3 linked regions of the Rhinolophus ferrumequinum genome follow. The protein of the gene in region 3 purifies or fractionates together with the protein of the main gene of each other region. This does not show direct contact. Links are inferred from orthologs where the notes say so. Each region holds a gene or a part of one and is shown on either strand. Other genes may lie near its edges.

Region 1 (3,746 bases), on a different chromosome or scaffold from region 3:
GGCATAAAGACTCTGCACTAAACCCGGAAAGAGGAAGGCAGGGAGAAGAGTGAGAAGCCAATTTCACAGGCACCTGGGGACTATCTGCCTAGCGACTCCTTCTTCCTGGTAATCACCATCCCTTCTTCATGGGTAGGGCAGTGCGTGTCATGTTCTCCTGGTGACAGGGGTGTGGGTGCCGACCCGTGCTAAGGCAGTGCAGACATTCCCTGGGATTTTTTTTTATTAAATTTATTGGGATGACATTGGTTAGTAAAATTATATAGGTTTCAGTGTACAATTCGATAATGCATCGTCGGCATGTTGCGTTGTGTGTTTACCACCCAAAGTCAGTTCTCCTTCTGTCACCATGTAGCTGATCCCCCCGGGATTTTTCAAACTGGAGCTGAGAGTCCCTTTCTAGAGGAAGAGGCTGTAAGATGTAATCAAGAGATCCTAGTCACCAAGTGGATGACTGCTCTGCACGACAGTGAAGCAGTCATGAAGAACAGAGACGGAGGGCAGCACTGGGGGGCAGGCCTGGTCCAGTGCAGTTTGTCCCTTCCGTCCTTCCTGGCATTCCAGTCGGCAGACCCTCCCCTTTGCTTATGGGAGCTAGAATTAGATTTGTCATTTGTAACCAGGCATCCAGACACTGTACCTTCTGCTATGAAAAACACCTCATTCGCTTTGAGGACCGTTTACTAAAAAAGGACCACAAATGTCACCAGCAAACCTGAACGGATCCTGCCAATACAGACTAATTCCCTCAATTCATGAGTGAAAGGACCTTATGTGCCTCCCGTTAACATTTTCTTACATTATCGAGCCCTCTCTCCACTCGCCCATCAGTTTCTGTACAGTTTGGATGCAAAGAAAATCACAGTCCACTTTCCCGTAAAGACTTCAGCGGTCTGGGTGGGGCCTCAGAATATGCGTTTCTAGCCGGTTCTCCGGTGGTGCTGCTGATCCAAGGACCACACTGACAACCGTGGGGCCAAAGCAACGAGGAACTCAGTAAGAGGTGCTGGAAAAGACACCACCGTAAACAATGAAAACAACCGGATAACGGCCAGGAGGAACATCGAGGAAGGTGTTCCGCGGGGGAGGCTCCAATTCCCTCTCCAACAATTCCTCAATAGTAATTAAAAAAATAACAACAACATGCACACTACACTGATTAAGCCACACAAAACGTAATGGGACATAAGAAACAGGAGCGGAGAACTTGTGATGGGAGGTTGAGAACACTCAGAGTCCTGGGAAAGGCGGGAGCTATCAGTCCGTATGTGAGACCCCCACATAGGAACAAGTAAGCACCTCGTTTCAAGAGCAGCGCTTCTACTGGGTGTTTCATCTTGGAGGAGTAACAGTACTGACCACTTCCTATGTCAGTTTTCTGCCCTGGAGCACAAGCTTTGAGGGCCGGGAAGTGCCTGACTTGTTCCTCCCTCTACGTAGCCCGGCACGAGACAGGCCGATACATGTTCAACGAATAAACAGACTGGGTTTCCCTCTCCTTACGGTCGTCTTTTAAGCTCACAGTCTTGTTGTGAGGTCGGCTCAGGGAGGAGACATCCCGTCACTAGAAGACGCCCCGTCTCTGTCTTGTCAGAGCAGCTCTGGACAGGAACGGTCCAGGCACCACTGGATGTCGGACGCAACACACAGGACTTCATTGCATACAAACCACCTTGGCAACTAGGGAACGTTCACTAGCATTTTACCGCGGGGCGGACCTGTGGCCGGCATCAGGATCTGACAAAAGCACCAAATCCCCTTTAATCAGTAAGGGAGCACAAAATAAGGGGGCTGACTTTACAATGTACCTTAATTCAACTGCATCTGCAAGTCTGCAAATCACGGCGCTGGAGGGGGGAAGAGAAAAAAAGGGAAGGAAGAAACAGCTCCAGTACCGACGAGTGCATTCAGACCATTCGCGCTTACTTACGTGGCGTTCTCCACCATTCTTAACATACGGAGGCTTGCTATTGAGAGGCTTACAGGGACCCCATCTTGGGAAAGATGGGGAGTAGGCTCTAACACCAGTATTGAAACCCCCAGTTCAGAGAAGCGGCTGGGCTCGATTGCACGGCGACTAGTGCCGGGGCTGAAGCCCAACCCGCGTGTGCGTCACTCAGGAAGCTCCCCGTCGTTACTGCCCCAAGCGGTCCGACCTCCCTGCCGAGATTTTTAAAGGTCTCTTTTGTGTTTCTCTCCGCTTTGGAAAAGCAAAGGGGCGACCTTGGCGGCCTCAGTACCTTGGTGTCCACGTCGGCCAGGCAGTCCCGGCGGAAGCTGTCAAACAGGCCCCGGCTCTTGAGCTGCTCCACGATGAGAGCGATGAGCTGAGGGTCGCCGGGAGGGAGCGAGGCCGGGTTGTTGGGGCCTCCACTCCCGCCCGTGCCCGGCGCGCCCGTGCCCGCCCCCGCCGAGGCCTGGCCGGCTCCGCCGCCGCCCACCGCGCCCGTACCCCCGCTGCCGCCGCCGCCGCCGTCCGCCATGGCTGCTCCCCGGGCCCGCGCAGGAGACCTAATACGGCTTCTCCTCAGGGACAGAGGGCCTGGGTCGTGTGGAGGTGGCGCAGGGGACGGAGAAAGAGGAGGCGGCGGCGGCGGCGGCGACGGGAGGGGAGGAGGGGGAGGAGGCCGGCTCTGAGGCAGCCGCGGTGATGGTGGTAGAAGCGGCAGAAACGGCCCGCGCCATCCCGGGCGCTTTGCCGATGACGTCACCATCGGCCTTTGCATTGTGGGGCGGGAGGTTTTCGGCAGTCCTCTCCGGCTTTCTTATAAGGCAGAGGTCTGGCCGCGGAAACTACAACTCCCGGCAGGCTTCGGGTCCGTTCGTCGCCAGTTTGAGGCGGGCCTCGGCCCGCGTGATTTCTGCTACCTAGGCTGGCCGTCCTCTCCATCACTGTGAACCTTTCTCTAAATTAGCACCTCCCAGCAGTGACTGATTATAAGAATAATCCGCGGGGCTGATTCAAGTTTTAGATGAACAGTATCAACCACTTATTATATAAGTATGTGGCCCACATGTCAGTTTTATCCCTTAGAGATGCTAATTTAGTTTTTCTGGGTGGGGGACTAGGAATCTGCTTTTAATGTGCACTCCCGTGGCCTCCTTGGACAAAATCATCCAGGGAATTTGGGAAACAGTGAACTAGTCAATTTCTCTTCGGAAATGCGTGGGCTTCTTTATCACCTGATTTTAATAGCAATGCATACTTCTTTTGGAAAATTGGAAAATAATGGCAAATTGTCTTCCTGAATTCTTTCTTACGTGGGTGGATTTTATCCCAGGTGACTGTCAATAATAATAATAATAATGATAATAATAATAATAATAATAAAACTAATAATGAGTAATTGGAATATGCTAGGCGTGCTGCTAAGCACTTTACACACTGCTTCACAACAATCGAAAAAGCAGATACTATTATCACTGCTATTTTACAAATGTGGAAATGGAGGCATAAAGAGTTTGTTGCCCTGATCACATAGTTAGAGGCAGAAAAGGAGGATTTGAACACAGGTTTACTAAATCCAAATCTTGCAATGTTTAACCTAAGTTTCACTACATCCTGAGAGCTACCTGGCATTATACACTAGGTAAGGCTTTATATATTGAATTTTTTTTTTTTTTGGCCACCATTCACCATTGGAACCCCAGGGCTGCCATCACTATCCTCTCTTTCCTTCAGCCTTTTGCCTATTAGCTCAACTCCAGCCCACAACTCTGGCAATTGTCTGCTATTGTTATTTCCC
Region 2 (3,746 bases), on a different chromosome or scaffold from region 3:
AAAATGCTCAATATATTTTATCCAATATAGATGGGAATTAATGTACAAAAAACGTGTTAAGATTTACAAAAAGACAGGTATGTCAAAAGCAGCTGACTTCACTAAATTCTTAAAATTTTAAAATACTGCCAACCATTTCTGTCTCTACATTTAAATTTTTTAATGGAACGCTCTAAATGGTGTTTAAAAATCTGGATATTTCATTTTTAGAAATCTAACTTCTGAATATATAAATCAATATATAAATATTGTGGATGCCTTTTTTAAAACAACAGTATTATATCCCATTGGTATACTTATACTCTTGTGATAATTTAGTTTCTAACAGACTTTGTAATATCAAAATATGTGTTATCTAAATATTAGTCTATGAATTACAGGATTATAACGAATTAATTTAAAGCCTACCTTCCTATAAAGGTGAAGGGAGTCTATAACTAAGGCTGGCAGATCAAGAATGTCACTGTCTGAATTTCCTGGATGATTTTCTTTATCCACTTAATTCACTTAAGTGGGTTTTTAAAAGACTGAGTTATTATACTGTAAGCTTACAATAAAGACTGAAAATAGGCAGAGATCATTTAATCTCATTTGTATAGTCTAATAGATTACCATTTGACCACACTAAAGATATTCAGACACCTTCAGTAAAACTACGTCCCTGTGACGGCTCACCACCAACTTTTATAAAATATTAGAGAATTGTAAAAAAACACTGAACAAAACCTTGCTGTGACCCGTTCAAACGTCTATATAAAAAAAGGAAGTTAAAATATTAGAGAATTGTAAAAAAACACTGAACAAAACCTTGATGTGACCCGTTCAAACGTCTATATAAAAAGGGAAGTTAAATCCACTGGGTATTCTATAATCAGATTGTTTTCTTTTTGAGGAACGTAATTAAATTACATCTTTTGCTCCTAAAGAGGATTTCATGGTTTTTCTTTGATTCCTACACACTAACACAACAATGCAGCCAACATTATTATATCCGGAATGGAGCGGGGGAGGATGACATTACACCCAGCGATACGAATTAAATCGCAGCAGCTAATGCCCTCCTTAAATAATTTATTCTCTCTTGGCAGCAAAAAAACGATACAGCCTCTTCAATTACTCCTCACCGCAAACCATCGCTTGGGTCGCGACCAATCTGACCCAATTCCTATCGCGGCCACCACCTCAGTCTCGCTTCCTCCCGCCGGGTCTGCAAGTGTCACGGGAGGTGGAGGCAGCCGCAGGGGCGTCCTCTGCGCTGCGACCCGGCTGGCCAGAAGCACGCGAGGCAGGCCCGGGACTCACCGGGTGGAGGTGCCCTTCCGCACATCGCACATCATGCACTTGAAGGCCTCCGCGCTGTTCCGGAAGGTGCAGACGCTACAGTCCCAGTAACCCTCATCCGAGGACGGCTTCGGCTGCCGCTTCGGCCTGCAGAACACAACCCGGACACGACGTCGCGCGGGGTCACCAGCAGGCCGCGCCCAGCGCCCGGGCCCCGCGGTCGCCCGCACCCCGACCCCCGACCCAATTCCGCGACCCCCCCCCCACCCGCGGGCCCCGGACACGCCGCGCTCCGGCTCAGAGGGGGAGGGGAATAAAGAAGGGGGAAGGCGCGAGCGCGGCCGCTATCGTCGCGGCCGCGGCCTCTGTGACACCGGGACTGCCGCTCCGGCCGCCGCCATCTCGGCTCCATTGTGGGGCGGCCGGCGGCGGCCCTTCACGCGGCAGCGCTCGCGCAGCAGCGGCGCCGCCCCCGTTCTCGCCCTGCTGCCCGGGCGGCGAACCAGGCGGCCGCCTGAAGCCCGACGCGAGGGCCCTGCCGCCTGCACAGTCCGGGCCCGAGGGCCCGGGCGCTGTTACCTGGTGGGGCTCTTCTTGTCTCCCATGGCTTGGCTACAGATGCACGCCGAGAGTCGCCGCCGCGGCCGCTCTGTTTGTCAATAAGGAGGATAATAAGCCGGGCGGAAGCGGGCGGGGGAGGAGGGAGGGGGCGGGGAAGGCCGCACCGCCAAGCTCCGGAGCCGCCGCCGGATCCCACGCAGCCTCCAGCTGTCGGGGAAACTCCTGCCTGGGCGCACGTGACCCGCGCCGGCCAACCAGCGGTCGCGCCGGAGACTTCAAACGCGGCCAGCGCGGCCCAGCACCCGCCGCGAGTTCGCGGGCGGGCGGCGTGGGGGTGCAGCTGCAGCCTCCGGCGCCTCAGCCACCGCTTCTCCGCCCGATTTTCCCCGCCTCCCCTCGGCAACCCCGGCTGACGGGGGCTGCCACGCGCTCCGGGCTCCTCTGTCTGTCCCTCCGGCTGGCGGGGGATGCTCAGTCAACCCCACGAGAAGCCTAGTCCAACGTGGGGCCGGCGTTCGGAGGTCAGCCCAGCTCCGGACGAGAGTGCCCGGCTGCGGTCTCCAGGTAGAACCGCTTTCCCAGCCTCGGCCGCCCTTGGCTATTCAGCCTCAGCCCGGATACTTGGGGGGAGTTGGGAATCAGCATTGAGCGCCATTGCTAAGTGCCTTAAAATACTGTCTAGTTTTATGCAGGAAAATGCTTTACCAAGTAAAGATTGCCTTTGATTTAGAAGAAACGAAACCGAGGCTCAAGAGAGGTTAGGTGACTTCCTCTATTACATAATCAGAAGATAACAAAGCCAGGAATCTAACCCTGGTTTTAATGCCAAATGCGCTGCCTCGGCTTCCCAGGCATCTGCAGTAGCTGCTTGGGGGGAAAAATTTTTTTTAAAGTATTCATAAGCCCTTTTTTAAAATAACGCGTTTACATGTGCCCTGAACGCTACCTTCCTTCCAGATCTCAATTATCTCAACATACTGGACGCCCTCACTTTGTACATACTAACAAGGACCATATAACTGGTCTCCGAAGCTCAAGCCGGATCACCCCAGTTTAGTCAGTGCTGGTAATGACACCATCCTGATCAAAAGTTTGCTAAAGCTCTCAGACTCCTTAGCCTGGCATTCAAGGACTTTCACACTTTCTCCCTACCGGTTATGGTAAGGGCCTTATCCCATTCCCCATCAGAAAAACTGCCTCCGGGCAAAGACTGCAGATGAAATTCATTCATGACCTTCCAAAACCTTTCCTTCACACACATAGCTTACTTCCGTATAAATACTTTCCTCTTCTCTTTGTACTGTTTCTACCCTTCTTTCCAGATTCACAGAAAGTCCGAATTCTTGTAAAATAATAATCTTACAGCTAAGCAACTCTTAACGAACTACAAAGGAAATAGCATAGTCAGAAATCCTGGGTTCTCAGCGTACTTTCCCTGTTCTTTTGCGGATGGACCTTGGAAATTGTGCTTAATTTCTGTAATTCTTAACTTCTTTATCTGCAAAAGGACATTTATATTTATGAGGTTGTGTGATTAATAATAAAGTAACTAACATTTTTAGCACTTTATGCCAGGCACTTTGTAAATCTCTTTACACAAATTTGTGTAAACACTCAAAGTACTATGCAAATCTGCTCATCAACTAGTCTATCCCTTCATTTGAAAGACAAAGAATTTAGAGCCCTGGTTAAATGGTTTTTCTTTAATGAACATGCCAGGATTAGAACTCAGATATCCTATTAGTCTTTCACCAACTCAAACTGTCCAATTAACTACCATGTTTCCCCGAAAATAAGACCTAGCCAGGCCTACAGCTCTAATGCATCTTTGGGAGCAAAAATTAATATAAGACCCGGTCTTCATATAATATAAGACGGTATAATATAATATAATACCAGGTGTT
Region 3 (3,746 bases):
ACAGCTGATGCTCAGTAAATGCCAGCTGCACGGTGCTTATCCTTAGCCCCAGTGCCGCCTTCCTAAGTGAGCTGGCCAAGGGCAGCGAAGGGAAGGGCTAGGGAAGAGAGCTGGAAGTCTGCTTCACAGAACCCGGCATTGAGGGAGCCAGACCAGGCAAGGGCTGAGACAGGTGGCCCGTGGGGTGCCCGGAGGAGCACCAGTGGGAACAGAAGAGGCTTCGTTTAGGGTGCACGGGCAGTTCAGGAGGCACAGAGCAGCTTCCTTTTAAAACTTGAGACCCACCAGGAGGCAGGGCAAAACCGGCTGTCCTCGGGTGAGGACCAGGGAATACAAATCGGTGGTCTTAACAGGTGCCCAACCCCTCCCCGCTCCAGCCCAACCCACCCACCGCTTGCGCTAGCAAAACATTAACAGGCAAAAATCAGCTGGACTCCTAAAACTAGATTTCTGGTCTCAATGCCCCAAGATTCTACCTAAGGGGGAAGGGGAAGCGTGACCTTTTTCATGAACATTCAGGTGAGTCTGCAACAGTTGTTTTGAGGCAACTGGGAGGCTGGTTAGGGACTGGCTCCGTAGGAAGGAGGGTCTGCGGTGAGCGGGAACAATTTGGAGTCCCCCTCCAGGGCACACGCTACCTGCCCCCTTAGGACGCACAGGTGTGCACCCAGGTGACCCTAACCACCCAGGGCCCGGCCGCCCACTCCTTGGAGTGCTCTCCTGACGCCTTGTAAAAAGCAGATTCCTGGGCTCCACTCCCGAGACTGGGCCCTCAGATGTGGGAAAACAAGAGGTAACTTGGGGACAAGAAGGTGGCCAGCCCCACCTGGGTCCTGGGACACACGCTTCCATTCTAGCTCACCTATCGTTCTATGGAGCCGGGCCAACCTGGGAGGCAGCGTCGGGCGCGACACCTGCCACACGGTTGGTAAATGGACATGAGGAGGAAGAAACAGCACGGCCAGGCGCATCTTTTCACATCACCCAAGATGGCTCTAGCGGACCGGACTGAAACCTCAGCGAGGCCGGAGTCGTCTCTCCCTTCCTGACAGCGGGCCCGCACCCGAGGGACCCCATCCTGGGACCCCGGGCTCTCGGGAGAGCGAAGGCCTGGCTGCCTCGACGGAGCGTGAGCAGCGGGTCGGGGCAGGGGCGTTTCTGCAGGAGGCAGACGAGTCTGCGCGCCCCGTCCAGGCGCCGTTGGCCCGGGTGGGTCTGGGCTCTTCCTTGGGAGAAGCCGCGGAGACAAGGGGCGATGCGGGCTGGCTGCAGGGAGACGTCGCAGCCCCCTGGCTGATGGCTTGTCATTAGACCATTGAGGACCGGCCGCATGGATGAGCGCCGGGAGTCCCGGGAACCGTTGGGGATCCGTCTGGAGAAGCAGAACGGGACCTCCGCGGGCGGGGCTCCGGTAAGCGGAGGGGGCCGTGCCGGCGGGGCTCAGGGCAGATACCCGGAAAGCGAGGCGGCGTGGGCCCGTGGGGCGTCTGCACCGAGTGGCCCCGGCAGGCCGGGACCCCGGGCCGAGGCCGAGCCCGCCGGAACACGTGCGGAGGCGGCGGTTTGGGGTGCAGCGGCGTCGGCCCCCCACCCTATGCGCGTGTCCGCAGGACGGGCGGCCCCCGCTTACCTGACGGGCCGCAGCGGGCGGGAGCGGGCGCTCCGGGAGTCGCATCAGCCGCCGCCTGGGCGGGAGCCAGGCCGAGCTCGACGAGGCGGCACTGGGCCGGCAGTGCGCGTGCGCGTGCGCGTGCGCGAGGGACCGGAGCGGCATTGGGGCGGGGCAAGAGCACAAAGCCGGCCTTTCGGAGGGGCGCTACGGGGAGCGGCGAGGGGCAGAATGCTTCGGGCACGTCCAACGCCTTAAAGGGACAGCGTGATGCGCGCGCTTCCTGCTTAAAAGCGTTAACCCCAAAGGTGGCCGGTGCAGGCCGTTCTTCGCCTGCACTTTCTACACACTGAAGTATAAAGACACTACAGAAAAGTGCTAGTGTGTCCCTCGAATGCTCACATCCTGAGCTCGCCCTGTAGCGACGCTCCCAAGGAGGAGCAGATCTCCCCTCCGGGAACCTAGGGCCAGCGAGGGCCCCAATGTTTCTTCTGGGATCGCGTCCGTCCTGTTGATGGGAGCCGCAGCGTTCAGAGCCCGGCCCTGCCCTGGCCTTCCTCTCCGCGGAGTGTCTCCATTAATGGTCTGGACACCTCAGTAGACGGGGACCCTTACCTTCCCACTTTGCTGGGAGGACCCAGAGCTCCAAAAGGTCCCGAATGCCGGCACTCCGCCCACCCGCTCTCCCGCAGGGCGGGCTGCCTGCTTGGTGGTCTTCCTGCCTCTTCAGCGGAGAGCCCGCCCGGCGCACCTGCTTCTCTCCTGAGGCCCCCTACAAGGAGAGCCAATACGAACAGTCACTGCATGCAGACTGCGCTGCTGTCTGCAAGGTGATGTCACACACAGGTATCATCACCTCCAGTTACGAATGTGGAAGGGGCGGCCCAGACAGGAAGGCTCGAGGGCGTAAGGAGAACCTGGAGCCGCTGTTCTGGCCTTAAGTCCTGTGCATTCTCACCGCCCCGCCCCACTTCTGCTACCATATCGGTCTTAGAGTCTTGGGGGTGGTCAGGGTCTGACCTCCACGCCTCAACCCAAGCCCTGGGTACAATAACATGCAGTCTCTTATTTCCCAATGAAAAATGGGAACACCGATTATGACACAGGAAAGTGTGCAGACAAAAGGACAGAGCATTGAAAATGGAAATGTCCAGGGAAGTGAGGTGTGTGGTTGTTATAGACAAGGGCACCAAGACTGGTAGCTAGTCTGAAAGCCCCCACTTTAAGGAGGACGCAGGGGCAGCAAAGTCCCTGTCTGGCCCCAGCACAGCTCCGTGGATCTCTGTGCCCAGGAGGCCTATTCACCTGTGCCAGTACCCTGGAGCGTGAGACAGGTAACCAAATCTCCATAGTCATAAAGAGGGGGCACTTCCATCCACCTGCCTGCCTTGGTTCCGCCTCCCAACTGGCCTTTTTCAAACCTCTCTGAAGCAGTCAGAACTTCTAAAACGCCACCTCTGATCTGTCACCTGCTGGTTTAAGACTCAGAGCTGGCTTCCCATTGCCTTCGGGTCCAAATCCAAACTCTGCCATGGAATTTACCAGACGGGCCTCCCCGCCTAGCCTGATACCACCCCCAAACTGTGCACCCCAGGCTTCAGCCCCAGATCCAAAGTATAATATATTTCCCAGTCCTCCAACCCTGCAGGGGGAGCAAGACATGGGTCCTGACCACAGAACTCAAACCAGATTCCCAGGTAAATTGGTCTCACCTCCAGCAAAAATGAGAAAATCCTCTAACTTTGTGGAGTGTTTTTTCAATCCATTCCTGCAGTCATAAGGAAAATCCTGACAACAATACAGCAGGTAAAGCAATTCAACAAAAACTTTAAAAACTTGTCTAAGTTTTAAACCCTTTTCTATCCCTCCTAAGATGTTATCAGACTCAGAAAAATCATGAATGGAAGTTGAACAAAGCATAACAACTACAGAGAAGGGGAAAGCATTTTGGAGATTTGTTTTTTCAGAACGTTAACTGTGCTTTGGCCAATGGGAGCGAATTGGAAAATGAATGTGTTTTCATGAACAATTTTTATAGATACGACATTTCTCAAGGCTGCGCCATCAACCAGACAATATGAACCTCTCTGGGCACCCTCTCCCCTCAACCAGGTCCTTCCTCCAGGCTCTCTTTCTG

What was found.
Region 1: the proteins of WDR5 (region 3) and BOD1 purify together in Homo sapiens (affinity purification with mass spectrometry; 3 studies listed by BioGRID and IntAct, counting the BioPlex papers as one, with this or other methods). This does not show direct contact. The link is inferred for Rhinolophus ferrumequinum from reciprocal best matches to the Homo sapiens genes WDR5 and BOD1.
Region 2: the proteins of WDR5 (region 3) and YAF2 purify together in Homo sapiens (affinity purification with mass spectrometry; 4 studies listed by BioGRID and IntAct, counting the BioPlex papers as one, with this or other methods). This does not show direct contact. The link is inferred for Rhinolophus ferrumequinum from reciprocal best matches to the Homo sapiens genes WDR5 and YAF2.

What each region holds. Positions count from the first base shown.
Region 1 is NC_046307.1:39,094,301-39,098,046, forward strand, and holds the start of BOD1 (biorientation of chromosomes in cell division protein 1), read right to left. Parts: upstream 2,651-3,746; 5' UTR 2,484-2,650; coding exon 2,241-2,483; intron 1-2,240. UniProt on the Homo sapiens protein: Required for proper chromosome biorientation through the detection or correction of syntelic attachments in mitotic spindles.
Region 2 is NC_046293.1:45,237,929-45,241,674, forward strand, and holds the start of YAF2 (YY1-associated factor 2), read right to left. Parts: upstream 2,229-3,746; 5' UTR 1,887-2,228; coding exon 1,861-1,886; intron 1,429-1,860; coding exon 1,303-1,428; intron 1-1,302. UniProt on the Homo sapiens protein: Binds to MYC and inhibits MYC-mediated transactivation. Also binds to MYCN and enhances MYCN-dependent transcriptional activation. Increases calpain 2-mediated proteolysis of YY1 in vitro.
Region 3 is NC_046295.1:81,295,166-81,298,911, reverse strand, and holds the start of WDR5 (WD repeat-containing protein 5), read right to left. Parts: upstream 2,381-3,746; 5' UTR 2,225-2,380; intron 1,786-2,224; exon of another isoform or gene 1,631-1,785; intron 1-1,630.